3 linked regions of the Lonchura striata genome follow. The protein of the gene in region 3 interacts with the protein of the main gene of each other region in a pairwise test. Links are inferred from orthologs where the notes say so. Each region holds a gene or a part of one and is shown on either strand. Other genes may lie near its edges. The genes, in order: DDX17, NAV2 and RBM15.

Evidence for each region.
Region 1: the proteins of RBM15 (region 3) and DDX17 interact in binary tests that used the Homo sapiens proteins (3 or more experiments, as listed by UniProt). The link is inferred for Lonchura striata from reciprocal best matches to the Homo sapiens genes RBM15 and DDX17.
Region 2: the proteins of RBM15 (region 3) and NAV2 interact in binary tests that used the Homo sapiens proteins (3 or more experiments, as listed by UniProt). The two-hybrid records come from large-scale screens. The link is inferred for Lonchura striata from reciprocal best matches to the Homo sapiens genes RBM15 and NAV2.

What each region holds. Positions count from the first base shown.
Region 1 is NC_134607.1:23,793,827-23,797,570, forward strand, and holds the start of DDX17 (putative ATP-dependent RNA helicase DDX17), read right to left. Parts: upstream 2,813-3,744; 5' UTR 2,527-2,812; coding exon 2,483-2,526; intron 1-2,482. UniProt on the Homo sapiens protein: As an RNA helicase, unwinds RNA and alters RNA structures through ATP binding and hydrolysis.
Region 2 is NC_134608.1:57,025,018-57,028,761, reverse strand, and holds the start of NAV2 (neuron navigator 2), read left to right. Parts: upstream 1-797; 5' UTR 798-1,598; coding exon 1,599-1,856; intron 1,857-3,744. UniProt on the Homo sapiens protein: Possesses 3' to 5' helicase activity and exonuclease activity. Involved in neuronal development, specifically in the development of different sensory organs.
Region 3 is NC_134632.1:1,367,128-1,370,871, reverse strand, and holds the start of RBM15 (RNA-binding protein 15), read right to left. Parts: upstream 2,378-3,744; coding exon 1-2,377. UniProt on the Homo sapiens protein: RNA-binding protein that acts as a key regulator of N6-methyladenosine (m6A) methylation of RNAs, thereby regulating different processes, such as hematopoietic cell homeostasis, alternative splicing of mRNAs and X chromosome inactivation mediated by Xist RNA.

The sequences.
Region 1 (3,744 bases), on a different chromosome or scaffold from region 3:
GACATCCACCTTTAGTGATGATGTTTGTTACCAATCATGCTAAACTGAGGTCAAAATGTCAAAAATGTCAGTACCCAAGCAGTTCCTACAAAACCCATAAACCCCAAACTCACTCAAGTCCACTAGAGGGTCAAAGGGTTGATGAGTTTCCTTAGAAAAGGAAACATACGACTGGGCTGCCAGCAAGACTGGACACTGCAAAAGCTAAAAGCTGGGTACTATGAACACATGCTCTAAAGCTATCCAGAGGGAAAAAAAAACTACATATTCTACACAGAAGTCACATAGTTTCAGTTCTCCACTCTAACACACAATATGCCTGAATCCTGACCTGAAAGGAAAAGGAAGGAACCCTACAGCAGCCCTTGAACCCTGACTCTGTGGGGGTTCAGTTGCTAAACTGGCAGTAACTGACACTTCACATTCTGACTCCAAGTAAAAAGAGATTCCAACTCAAATTAAACTGACTTAAATCTAGTATTTCCCTGGTTTGCCAACAGCCCTCTTTTCAAAGGTAAATTCAGGGTGGCTCAAAACTTTCTTCCCTAATATTACTACTGCCATCACTTCTGGGACAGAACTGAGTAAATCTGACACATTCCAGAGGAAAACATAATTTTCCTAAGAAGTCACGTACAGCTCATTCCTGACAAGAGAAAACTAGAACCCTTTTATGTGATTAGACTACAAAAGAAGTGGTGGTAAACTTTCATAAGGTACTGAACCAGCACACTGGGAGGCCCAATATTTTATACAGGTTATTTATGAAGTAAGATAGTTGTTAGTGGTTACAAATATTTTCACAACTTAAAGGGATGTATGTAACAAATTGAATCCTAATGTATTAAAGGTTCCAGGATAATATGCAAAAAAAAAAAAAAAAAAAAAAAAAAAAAAAAAAAAAAAAAAAAAAAAAAGAAAAAAAAAATTTTTCATGCAAATATCCACAGACTTCACAAAGAATCATGGAAGCACTTCTTTTACTCATGCAAAACCCCTGACCTAAAAGAGAAGCAGCCACTATAATTAAAGACTTTACAGAAAATGAAATAACACTAATTTTAAGGCACATCAAGTGTTGTGGCAATGCTTTGGCCAGTGTTCTATAAGTAACTGTATATAAATCTGCATACTCAAACTCACTCACTAAACTCCAAAAACAGCTGTGGTCTGATCTATCTCAGACTTGCCAAAGCGCTTACTCCAATGTCCTTGTGTTAAACTGAGCTGGAAATCTCTTAGCAGAAAAACACCAGAACCCTCCTCTCTGTGAAAAAAAAAAAGACCGAAAGTATCTTTTAATTTCAGGATGTTAAATGTCGGTGTAAGATAAAGCAATGATCCAACTATCTCCCTCCACAGCTGACAAGAAACCGAATGTCAAAGTGCATTGCAATGTATAGCAAAATATTCTTTAATCTGCCAGTGGCAAGGGAAAACACGAGGAAAAGGAAGTGGGAGAGAAAAAAAAAGGAAAAAAATGGAGAGAAGACTCATTAATTGAGATCTAGCTTACTATATAGCAGAACCCACATTATATTTTTTTGCTAAACCTTGAGAACTACTCATGATCTGAAAATGCCACTCTCAGAAATTAGTTCTAACTTTCTCTTTAAAAAGGCCTGGCACGAATGCCTTATTACTGTCAACGCTTAAAAAGCTCGAAACTCACTCTAGTTACGCAGTATAACACCATTGTGTTTACTGCTGTCATTGTCAAAAGAAAAAAAATCACATCAAATCAAACCTGCAAAAGCCTTTTGCAAGCCAAACCTTCTTTAAATAACAGATTCAAGAGTATCAAGCACTAGGCCTTTACAGAACCACACAAACAATTGCTGTAGCACTACGTAAACTTGGCGAGTGTGGTCCAGCACCATGGCTCACCGAGATCACCCGCTCGAGTGCCCAAGTCCCCCAAAGGGCAGCGTTTCCAATCCCATTTCCTATCACGGTAAACCCAGGAGCGCAGCTGAGACAGATCTTCCCCCCTCTGCCATCTTTCCAGTAAGTCCAGAAGGAGCAATGACAACCAGAAGGGCAGACAGAAGGACAACCAGCCCTGCCAGGGCCACCGAGACCTTCGTGGCTCGCAGCGGGGAGGGTGCCACGGGTCCCGCCGGGTAAATAAGGCGGCTGGCAGAAAATAATTAAGGGGGCAGGGTGGATGCAGGCCTTAAAATTGCAAGCAAGGCTCAGAACTAGTTACACATGGACGGTGGAAAAGCTAAATAAAACAAATAATTTAAAAACCCGTAAAACGCTCAAAACCCACCACCTCGCCTTGGGGACAGATAAGCCTCCAACTACCCCCGCCCCCACACGAGAATCCAGGGGGGCAAATCTCCACAGATGGAATTTTAGCTCCCCCAAAACCGCCACTCCAACACACCCCCCGAACCCCTCGGCCTACCCCGCCCCCAACGCAGGCCTTCGGCTTCCCCCACCGCCCCCCGCCGTGCCGACCCCCCCTCCCCCTTACCCGCCGCGGTCTCGGTCGCGGCCCCGGTCCCCGAAGCCTCTCATCGCCCCCGGAGGGGTGGGTGAGAGGCAGCGGAACGCCGGCCGTGGGGACGGCGAGGGACTGGGGGTACGGGGCGAGGGTCCAGCCAGGGGCGGCTGCGCCTCGGAGGCCTCGCTTTGCGCCACCTCGCCTCTTTGGTGGGACACAAAAGGAGAAGAGGTGGTCAGAGGGTCCGAGACCCGCTGGGCGTCAGCGGCCGGAACGGCGGGGCTCTCGGTCGGCTCCAGGGCCCGGGTAGTGTGGCGACACCAGCGTCTTCTTGCTCCGCGCTCCCGGCACAAAATGGCCGCCGCCGCCCCGGCCCGCTCCGCTTACGTTACGGGCAGCCTGGCGCTGCGCAAACTCCGGCCCTCCGAAACACCTACGCCTATTCTCGGAACTCAACTACGCACTAAGCGCGCTCGGCGAAACACCGCCCCGTGCAGTAGCAGGCGGGCTACGAAAGGTGCGTAACGTTCTTTACTTAGAGCCGGGGCCCCGCGTGAGGAAGGCGGAGGGGAGGAGTAACGCTATTCCCCAAAGTCAGCTGCGTAAGGAGCTCTCCGTAACCCCTTCTGCAGGGCAGAGAATACCTGGGCCGAGGCGCACGTTACGTAAGTGCACGGCGTACGTAAGGTGCGTAACTGAGGGTAGCGTAGGGCGGGAAGAGCCCGGTGCGCTTGGCGTAGGATTCTTACGCGGACCGTGCAGGCTGGGCCGGAGGGTTACGCTGGATTCGCAGACGGTTTGAAGAATACGGCCCGTCGCCTTCTCGCCCACGGGCTCCGCCGAGGTGGCGGCGGGGTTGAGGACACGATGATGGGACAATGGCGGAACAATAATGGGACGCTGGGCGACGGGGCGGGAGCGGCCCTTTGGACCTCTGTGGCGGCTCCGGCGGCCGAGGTTATTCCCTGTAAGATTAGCAGGGGGATCTCGGCGCGGCGCGGGGGCAGGAGCAGAGTGACAGCAGCCATGATGTTTGCTGTCGCCTGAGCGCCGGCAGGCCGCGGCAGAATTCCCCACATGAGCCAGAGACTCCTCGCTGAAAGGCAGAATCATCCACGAGGCGATTACGTGGCACAGACCATAAATCCTTTTGTGTTGTGTATGCGGTATTGCCAAGTCAGTGTGTCCTGGCACAAGGAGATGGTGGGGTTAGCCCAGCCAAACCCAGCCCTGGCCCACACCGTGTTTCACTATCAGCAGTAATTTCTGGGCTGACAGGTTATCGAAAGCTG
Region 2 (3,744 bases), on a different chromosome or scaffold from region 3:
CATTGTATGTCCTGGTGCTGGGCAGTCTCGAAGGCATCGCTTGGTGCCGTGATTCCCAGAGGGATGATCAACCTCCCGCTGTCCTGCAGGTGTGGCAGGAAGGGAATAATGCACCTCTGGAATGCCACAGGATGAACAGGAACGCGGGCTCCGGGGCTCGGAACGGGTCCTGGCATCCACCGAGCGGCGTGAGGCGGAACCTGCGGCACTGAGAGCCTCCCCAAAGCCAAGTGTTGCTATAACAGGGCCGTATTACTCACTGTGCTTATTCAAATTCCTGTTGATGCTGGCAGCGGCAGTTTTTTTCCCGAACGGCCACGAACAATAAGTCACTTCCAGGTGTTTTGATTTGAATTTTTTTTTTTTTTTTTTTTTAAATTTCAAAAAGAAACCGGTCCCCGGCTCGCTCCGTGCCGCGCCTCCGGAGCATCCATCCATCCATCCCTCCAGATCCCTCCTCCCCACAGGTCTCCCTGCTCGCCGCGGGAGCCGCTCCTCCCCCTGCGGAGAGAGGGAGCGATTTCTTGAGTATTTATTTATTTATTTAATTTTTTTTGTGTGTGTGTGTGTTGCTGCTCGGAGCGGGCAGGACCAATCCGGGGCCCGCCCTGCCCGCTCGGTGCCGGGCAGCCGCCGCCTCCCGCCCGCCCGGCTGGTCCCGGCCCCCCCGGGATGCTCCGGGAGCCCGCTCCACTGCGGGAGGGAGCATGAGCTGCATCGGCTGCCGGCTGCTTTCCCTTCCCTCTCGCTGCTGAATCGCTTTCATTTTTAATCTCTTTTTTTCTTCTTTTTTTTTTTTTTTTTTTTTTTTTTCCCACCCCTACTCCTCGCCCCGTCCAGGTTTTTATGCTCAGCACTAGGGGAGCCGGGAAATTTTGTGGCCGCTGACATATTTTGGTTTAAAAATCGCTGTCAGTGGACGTTTCTCCTTCTGCTCCGGCATCGTTGTCCTGTTCACAGCTATTTAGGCTTAAGAAGCTTGATTCACTAAGGCTTGTATCCAAGGGCATCAGTCATTAACACACTGAGCTACATCTGCTTCTTGGCTAAGACTGAAGAAGGACATCTTAAGCTGGAAATCCTGCTCGCTCACTCTCTAGTGCGTACGGAAGGGGAAGCATATGCAGCAGCAGGTTCCTTTTTTTTTTTTTTTTTTTTCCCCCAAAGGCTGCCTCACTTTGAAGATGCGGTGACAAGATAATGGAGTGAAAGTCTTTCATTTCCAGGCAAGAAAATTGCAGGAGTCAGAGAGAGGAAGGAGCAAGTTACATAGCAGAAATAGGAAAGAGGACAGTGGTAAAGAACTGAAAATAAAATTAGAGGAAACAGGTGGAAGGCTGGCATAAAGCTGAGAAATATTTTAGACTGAAAGTGGTGTGTTTTTTCTTCTTTTTCTCTTTTTTCCTTTCTCTTTTTTATTTTTTTTAATTGGTTTTATTGTAGATTTTAAATTCTAAGCTGATTTTGGAGATCTCTGCAGTAACCAGGCTGCTTTACAGCAGAACAGCTTCCCCAGCGTGTCATTTTCTCTCTCCCTGCCTGCTGTCTCTGCTGTTGCTGCTGCTGACAGAAACGTGTTAGGAAAGCAGAAAGAGAAAATGCCAGCCATCCTGGTAGCCTCCAAAATGAAATCGGGACTACCTAAACCCGTACACAGCGCTGCTCCAATCCTGCATGTCCCAACGGCCAGGACCATCCCACAGCCCTGTTACCTGAAGTTTGGGAACAAGGTGGAGGTGACGAAGCCATTGTATTCCAGCCAGATTCCTCTCAAATCTTCCAATGGACAAGAAAACGCAGGAGACGGCCTCCCAGCAAGGAAGAGTAGCTCGGTAGAAAACGGATTTGACACACAGGTTAGCAGGCACCAAATGCTGGGGAGGTGTATGTGAGGATTTATTTCTGTGTTGAGAGTGTGCAGCAGGTTTTCTAGGGTAAATAGCATGGAATTGCGAGGAAGGGATGTGTGTGTGTGCCAACATCTGTCTGCAGCGGTGGGATGTTTTATATTCCACACAGTGGCATGTGTGATTCTGTCAGCATGATGGAGCTGGTGGTGGGGTGCTGAGGGATGGGGCTGCATGTGCTGCTTGCCCGTGCTGCCTTCTCCATCATCTCTGCTTGAACTGGGGGGGATTTACAGGAGGGAGATGGTGGAGATGTTGTTTGTGGGGTGTGTTCTTTGTGTGCTTTCTGTAGGTGCTAAGCGTAAGGGCTGGCTCGTGTGCCTGGGCTGGGGGAGGATTGCTGGTTGTCACAAATGGGTTTTGTGTTTGGTCATGTACTGTACCGCAGCACTAGTTGTGTGAATGTTCTGTGTTTGTAGCTGTGTGGGGAGTGAATGGGAGGCAGTGCTTGATGCTAGATTACAATATGCATGTCATTCAGTGCAGTTAAATTAAACAGATTATGTAGGAAAGCAACACTTAAGTGGAATTGCCTGTATAATGCTATATGTGCACGACATCATAGATGCAGCACATCATCAATGCACACATTTTAGGTTTCCATTTAATCTGTGTCAGCCTTCTAATGTATTTTTATATGTGCTGCTTGCTGTAGAGGGAGGAGAGATGCCCATTGCTCAGCTGGCTTAATTTCTGTGGGCAGGGTGAGGTTGGCAGCGTGGCTGGGGCTGCCCTGCACTGCCCTGCCCTGGTGAGCTCCGCAGCAGCGTGGGCACAGCAGCAGCGTGGGCACAGCGTGTGTGTGACCGTGCCACGGAGGGAGCAGAGCAGAGGGGCTGCTGCAGCAGCCACAACTGATTGCTGTGCTCCAGAGATGGCTGTACAGCCCTGGCATGTATTTTGGCAGCAGCTCTATGCGTTACACGCTGCTGCCGCCAATGTCTGAGCCGGTGGAAGGTGATACCATTATGCAGAGAGAGGGAAGTGATGGCAGAGACTCCCCTGGTTTTTTTCCTTCTTTGAGGAATAATGGATCATCCCTACCACCTCGATTCTGAAATCTGTGGCCTGGTAACCCTGTTCCCTTCAGACAAGTGTGCCAACTGATTGGGCACGTTTGACCGCGTGCCCTGATTTCGGGATATGCTGCGCTTTCCTTGCTGGTAGACAGGGTGACTATGGGGCTGCTCAGGCCAGACAGATGCAGCTGGAGCAGTTCCTGAGGGACTGAGAGCAGGAAAAGGAGACAGCCAAGCATGGATCCAGGCTAGTGTCAGCAGACAGACCAACCTGTCTGCCCTTACAAGATAATCAATTGCTCTCTCTCACTTGTGCCCGAGTCTATCCTTGTGATTATGAAACGTCAGCAAAATCTCTTTATTTGCTGCCCTTTCTCTCACACATGCCATGGTTTCTGCATGGAAATCTATATTGCTGGAAAAGTGGTTGTTATTCAGAAATACTTTCGCCTCTTTTAACAGATCATGCTCCCAGAGATCTGCCAGTGGGAGCTGTTTGCAGCACTATGGTGGTTTTAACCCTTACAAGGATGTGGAACAAACCCCATTTTTTGTAGCCTGATGATGAAAGGGTCTTGATGCTAACTTGTTATATGTGAACAGGGAAAGATTTTGGCTAAGGAAATGTCAGATAATTTTACATTTTTAATTTCTTCAGCAGCAGGAAAAATCTTAAGCTTTGCATTCTCAGTAACCTCCTCTGGCTGGCAGTCTGAGCAGATGACCAGCACCTTTTAAGGTGTGACAGTGAGGCTTTTTTCACACAGTCATTTTTTTGTTATTCAGCAGTTTTGTTGATCCAGCTTTGTTCCTTCTGC
Region 3 (3,744 bases):
CCCCCTGGAGCAGGTGCATGTTGGACGGGAAGTTGCTGTTCTTCAGCAGGAGCATCCCCTGCCAAGCCAGGCACAGTTTGGGCGCTGCCCCAGCCTGCGCTGCTCCATCCTGCTGCTGTTTTTGGGGAGGAGGTTTGAGCCGGGAGCCTCCGCCACCTCCATCCGCCGCCCGCTCGTCCTTTTTGGCCGGACTTTTGCACTCCTGGGCGGCAGCGGCGGCGCGGTGCTTGCGCTCCCGCTCTGCGGAGTTCTTGCGGTCGCGCTTTTCGTTCTGCCCCCGCTCCAGGCTGCCCCGGCGGGACTCCCGGATGGGGGAAGGTCGCTCCAAGAGGAGCAAGCGGGACGAGCGCTCAGGGTCACTACTGTAACGCTCCCGGCCTCCCAGGAGCTCGGGGCTGCGGTCCGGGGGAGAGGTTGTGGCCAAGCAGTGGCGCTTTCGGGAGGAAGAGGAGCGCTCGCTGTCAGGGGAACGGTCCAAGTGCCGGCCTCCATCCTCCGCCAGCCTCCGTTTCCTAGGCTGATCCCTACTGCTACTGCCCAGCTCCCTCTCCCCGCGGTCCCGCTCCAAGGACCACCCATCCCGGCGGCGCTCCAGGCTTTCCAGTGGGTCATAGGCAGCTGCCCGATTACTCCGATCCCGCACAGGGGGCGGCGGGGGCACCCACTCTGTCTCAGGATAAAGGTCTCTGTCACGGTCTCTATAGAGCAACGGTGGCGTCCTGTCCCGGGCCCCCCGGAGAGGGTCAGGGGGGGCTCCCCGGTGAGCCCCAAAAGCAGCCGCCTCCGCCACAAGCTCGTAATGAGCCGGGGGCGGCAAGGGCAGGGGCTGCAGGTAGGGCTGCTGGTACCGATGCTCTGTGTCGGCAAAGTCTACGCGGAGCCGGCGATCCGGCCCCCCCAGGGGAAAGCCCCGCATGTGGGTGCAGGCTGCCTGCGCCGCGTCCAGGCTCTCGTACTGGATATAGGCCCAGGAATCCCCTTTGCGGTAATCGATCGTGCGGATGGTGCCAAACCGATCAAACTCCCTGGCCAGGGCAGCCAGGGGCACCCAGGGCCCGAGGCCGCCCACCCAGAGCCGGGTGGTCGGGGTGGCTTTCCCGTACCCGATCTTGATGGGGTTGCGCAGCAGCACCTTCCCCGACATGGCCAACTTGGCCCGGTGCGCCATGTCCAGATTCTCAAACTTAAGAAACCCATAGGTGCTGGTCTGCCCACGCCCCGGCCTCTTGATGTCCACCTCAGTGATGACCCCGAAACGGTCGAACGCTCGCCGCAGGTCCGACTCGCTCACGGTGATGTCCAGGTTGCCCAGGAACAGCGTGCGGTTGGCTCTCTGGTCATCCTCGGGGCTGATCTCCTCCTCGGCGGCCGCTCCGGCACCTCCTCCTCCTCCTCCGCGGAATCCCCCGGCTGCCGCCACGCCGGCCACGCGCTCCAGCCCGTAGGCCGGCCGCACCCGCGCCTCGTAGAAGCCGCCGTAGTCCCGCTCCCTCTCCAGCTCCCTCGGCAGCGGCGGCGGCGGCAGCCGGCCCAGGGCGAGCTGCTGCAGCCGGTAGTCCCGGTAGCCCAAAGCTCCTCCGCTGCCCGCGGGGGACAGCGCCCGCTGCGCGGCCCCGGCCGGCGGGTGCCGCACGGCGGCCGCCACCGCCCCGACCGCCGCCGCGCCGTAGGGAGACTCCTTGTCCAGCAGCGCCGGGGAGCGGCTGCTGCGCCGGCGGCCGCTGCCTCCGCCGACATAGACGGCCTCGATCTTCAGCGGGCGGTCGTAGAGCACGAGGCGGCCGCGGGCGTGCTTGGCGGCGCGCGCGTCCTCGGGCCGCCGGAAGTTGACGAAGGCCACGCGCTCGTCGGCGGCGCCGGCGCCGGGTGGGAGCCGGCTGATCTTGACGCTCACGTCGCCGAAGCGCTTGAACTCGTGGAACAGCCCGTCCTCCACCGCCTCGTCGCTCAGCGCCGAGCCCAGCTCGCTGATCTTCAGCGTCTTGTACTCGCCGCCGCCCGGCTCCGACGAGGAGGAGGAGGAGGAGGCGGCGGCGGCCGCTCGCGATTCGCCGCCGCGGCTGCTGCTGCTTCGCGACGCCTCCGCGGTTTTACCGCTGTAGCCGTGCCGGCCCCCGCCGCCCGCGGCCGCCGCCGAACCGGTCTCGTACTCGCGGCTGCCGGCGCGGCCGCCCTTGTCCGCGTGGGCGCCGCGCCGGCCGCTCCCGCTGTTGCTCTCGCCGGACGCCGCCGCCGCTTTCCCGCCGTTGGAGCCGCCGCCTCCGCCGGACGAGCCGCTCGGCTTCTTGCTGCCGCGCGAGGAGGAGGAGGAGGACGCCGAGTCCTCGCCGCCCCGGGAGCGCTTGGCCTTGGCGGGCGAGCGCTCCTTGCCCTTCATGGCGGCGGCGGCCGCGCTCCCGCCGGGCCTCCCCGACCGCCCCGCTCACGCACCCGCCGCCATCTTGGAGCCGCGCCGGCACCGCGCGCCGCCCTCCCCGCGCCCATTGGCTGCCCAGGGCGGTGCCCTCGCCCATTGGCCGCCGCTGCGGGGGTGCTCCGCCCACCTCCTGGCGCTGCGCGTTCCCATTGGTCCGCCGCGCTGTCGGTCTGCCAGCCAGCCCCGTGCTCCCGCGGGGGGGGCGGGAATTGCCGCCGTCGCGCGCCTCCCAGCCCCGCTCGCTCATTGGGCAGTTAGAAAGGGCGCGGCGATCTCATTGGATGGTGCTACCTGTCAATCGTGGCTGTTCAACCATGGGAGGATTTTCGCTGCCCATTGAACAATGGGCCGAACTTAGCTCTGCCTGCTGATTGGCTCTCCTGGCCGCCAGTTACAATAATCGTTCTGCGGCCCCGCCTCGCCCTGTGCCATTGGCTCTCCCGCTTAGATGCGAGTTCCCATCGCACCCCTCAAACTCTCGCGAGTTGCTCTGCCCCCGCCCCCTTTCCTCATTGGTCACTTAGCAACCCATCGCACTGATGTGATTGGCTGATCCATACGCCGCTCATGAAGGAGCGCGCCCCGCTCCCGCAACTCTGTTTCTGGTTTCTCATTGGGCGAGAAAACGTCCCCTGGCGTCTGATTGGGCGCAGACAGGCAGAGTGCTGATTGGCTAAGGCAAAAATCACTCAGGCTTGTTCTGGCTCCGATTGGTCGCCGCGGGGAGGGGGGCGGTCCCCGGGCAGAGCTCGCGGTACGGCGGTGCCTGAGGGCTCAGAGCGCGGCGGGCGGTGGTGCGGGGCGGAGGTGCGGCGGTGCTCCGTGTGTCCGTCCTCAGCCCGCCAGTGCGCCCGCCGGGCTGGGCTGAACCCACCGCGGGGCGAGCGAGGGGAGCTCGGCTGCGTTCAGTGCCTGCCTCACGCTCTCCCTGTTTGCTTGTGCAGCCCGCATGAGGCTGCGGCTCCCCGCGCTGCTCTGCCGGCTCTGGAGCCCTGCGGACCTGCAGGAACTGCCTGAGAACACGGGCACTCCTGCTCCGGGCCAGCAAACCGTTTCTTGAGATATTTCCCGTTTAAAGCTGCACATCACAGCGGTTATCCTGGTACATTCCTGCTCTCGCCATGTTTCCCTGGGGAGTTGGAGCTCGGAGGCTCTCGGAGATGAGTTCGGGTTAGGTCTGAGGTGAGGAGGCCTCAGGGAATTCCAGCTCCCGTGGAACAGGAGCGCCTCTGATCTGTGTGTTTTGTGAGAATCCCTCCGTAATCCCTGTGTTTTGTGAGGATCCTTCCATAATCCCTGTGTTTTCTGAGGATCTTTCCATAATCCCT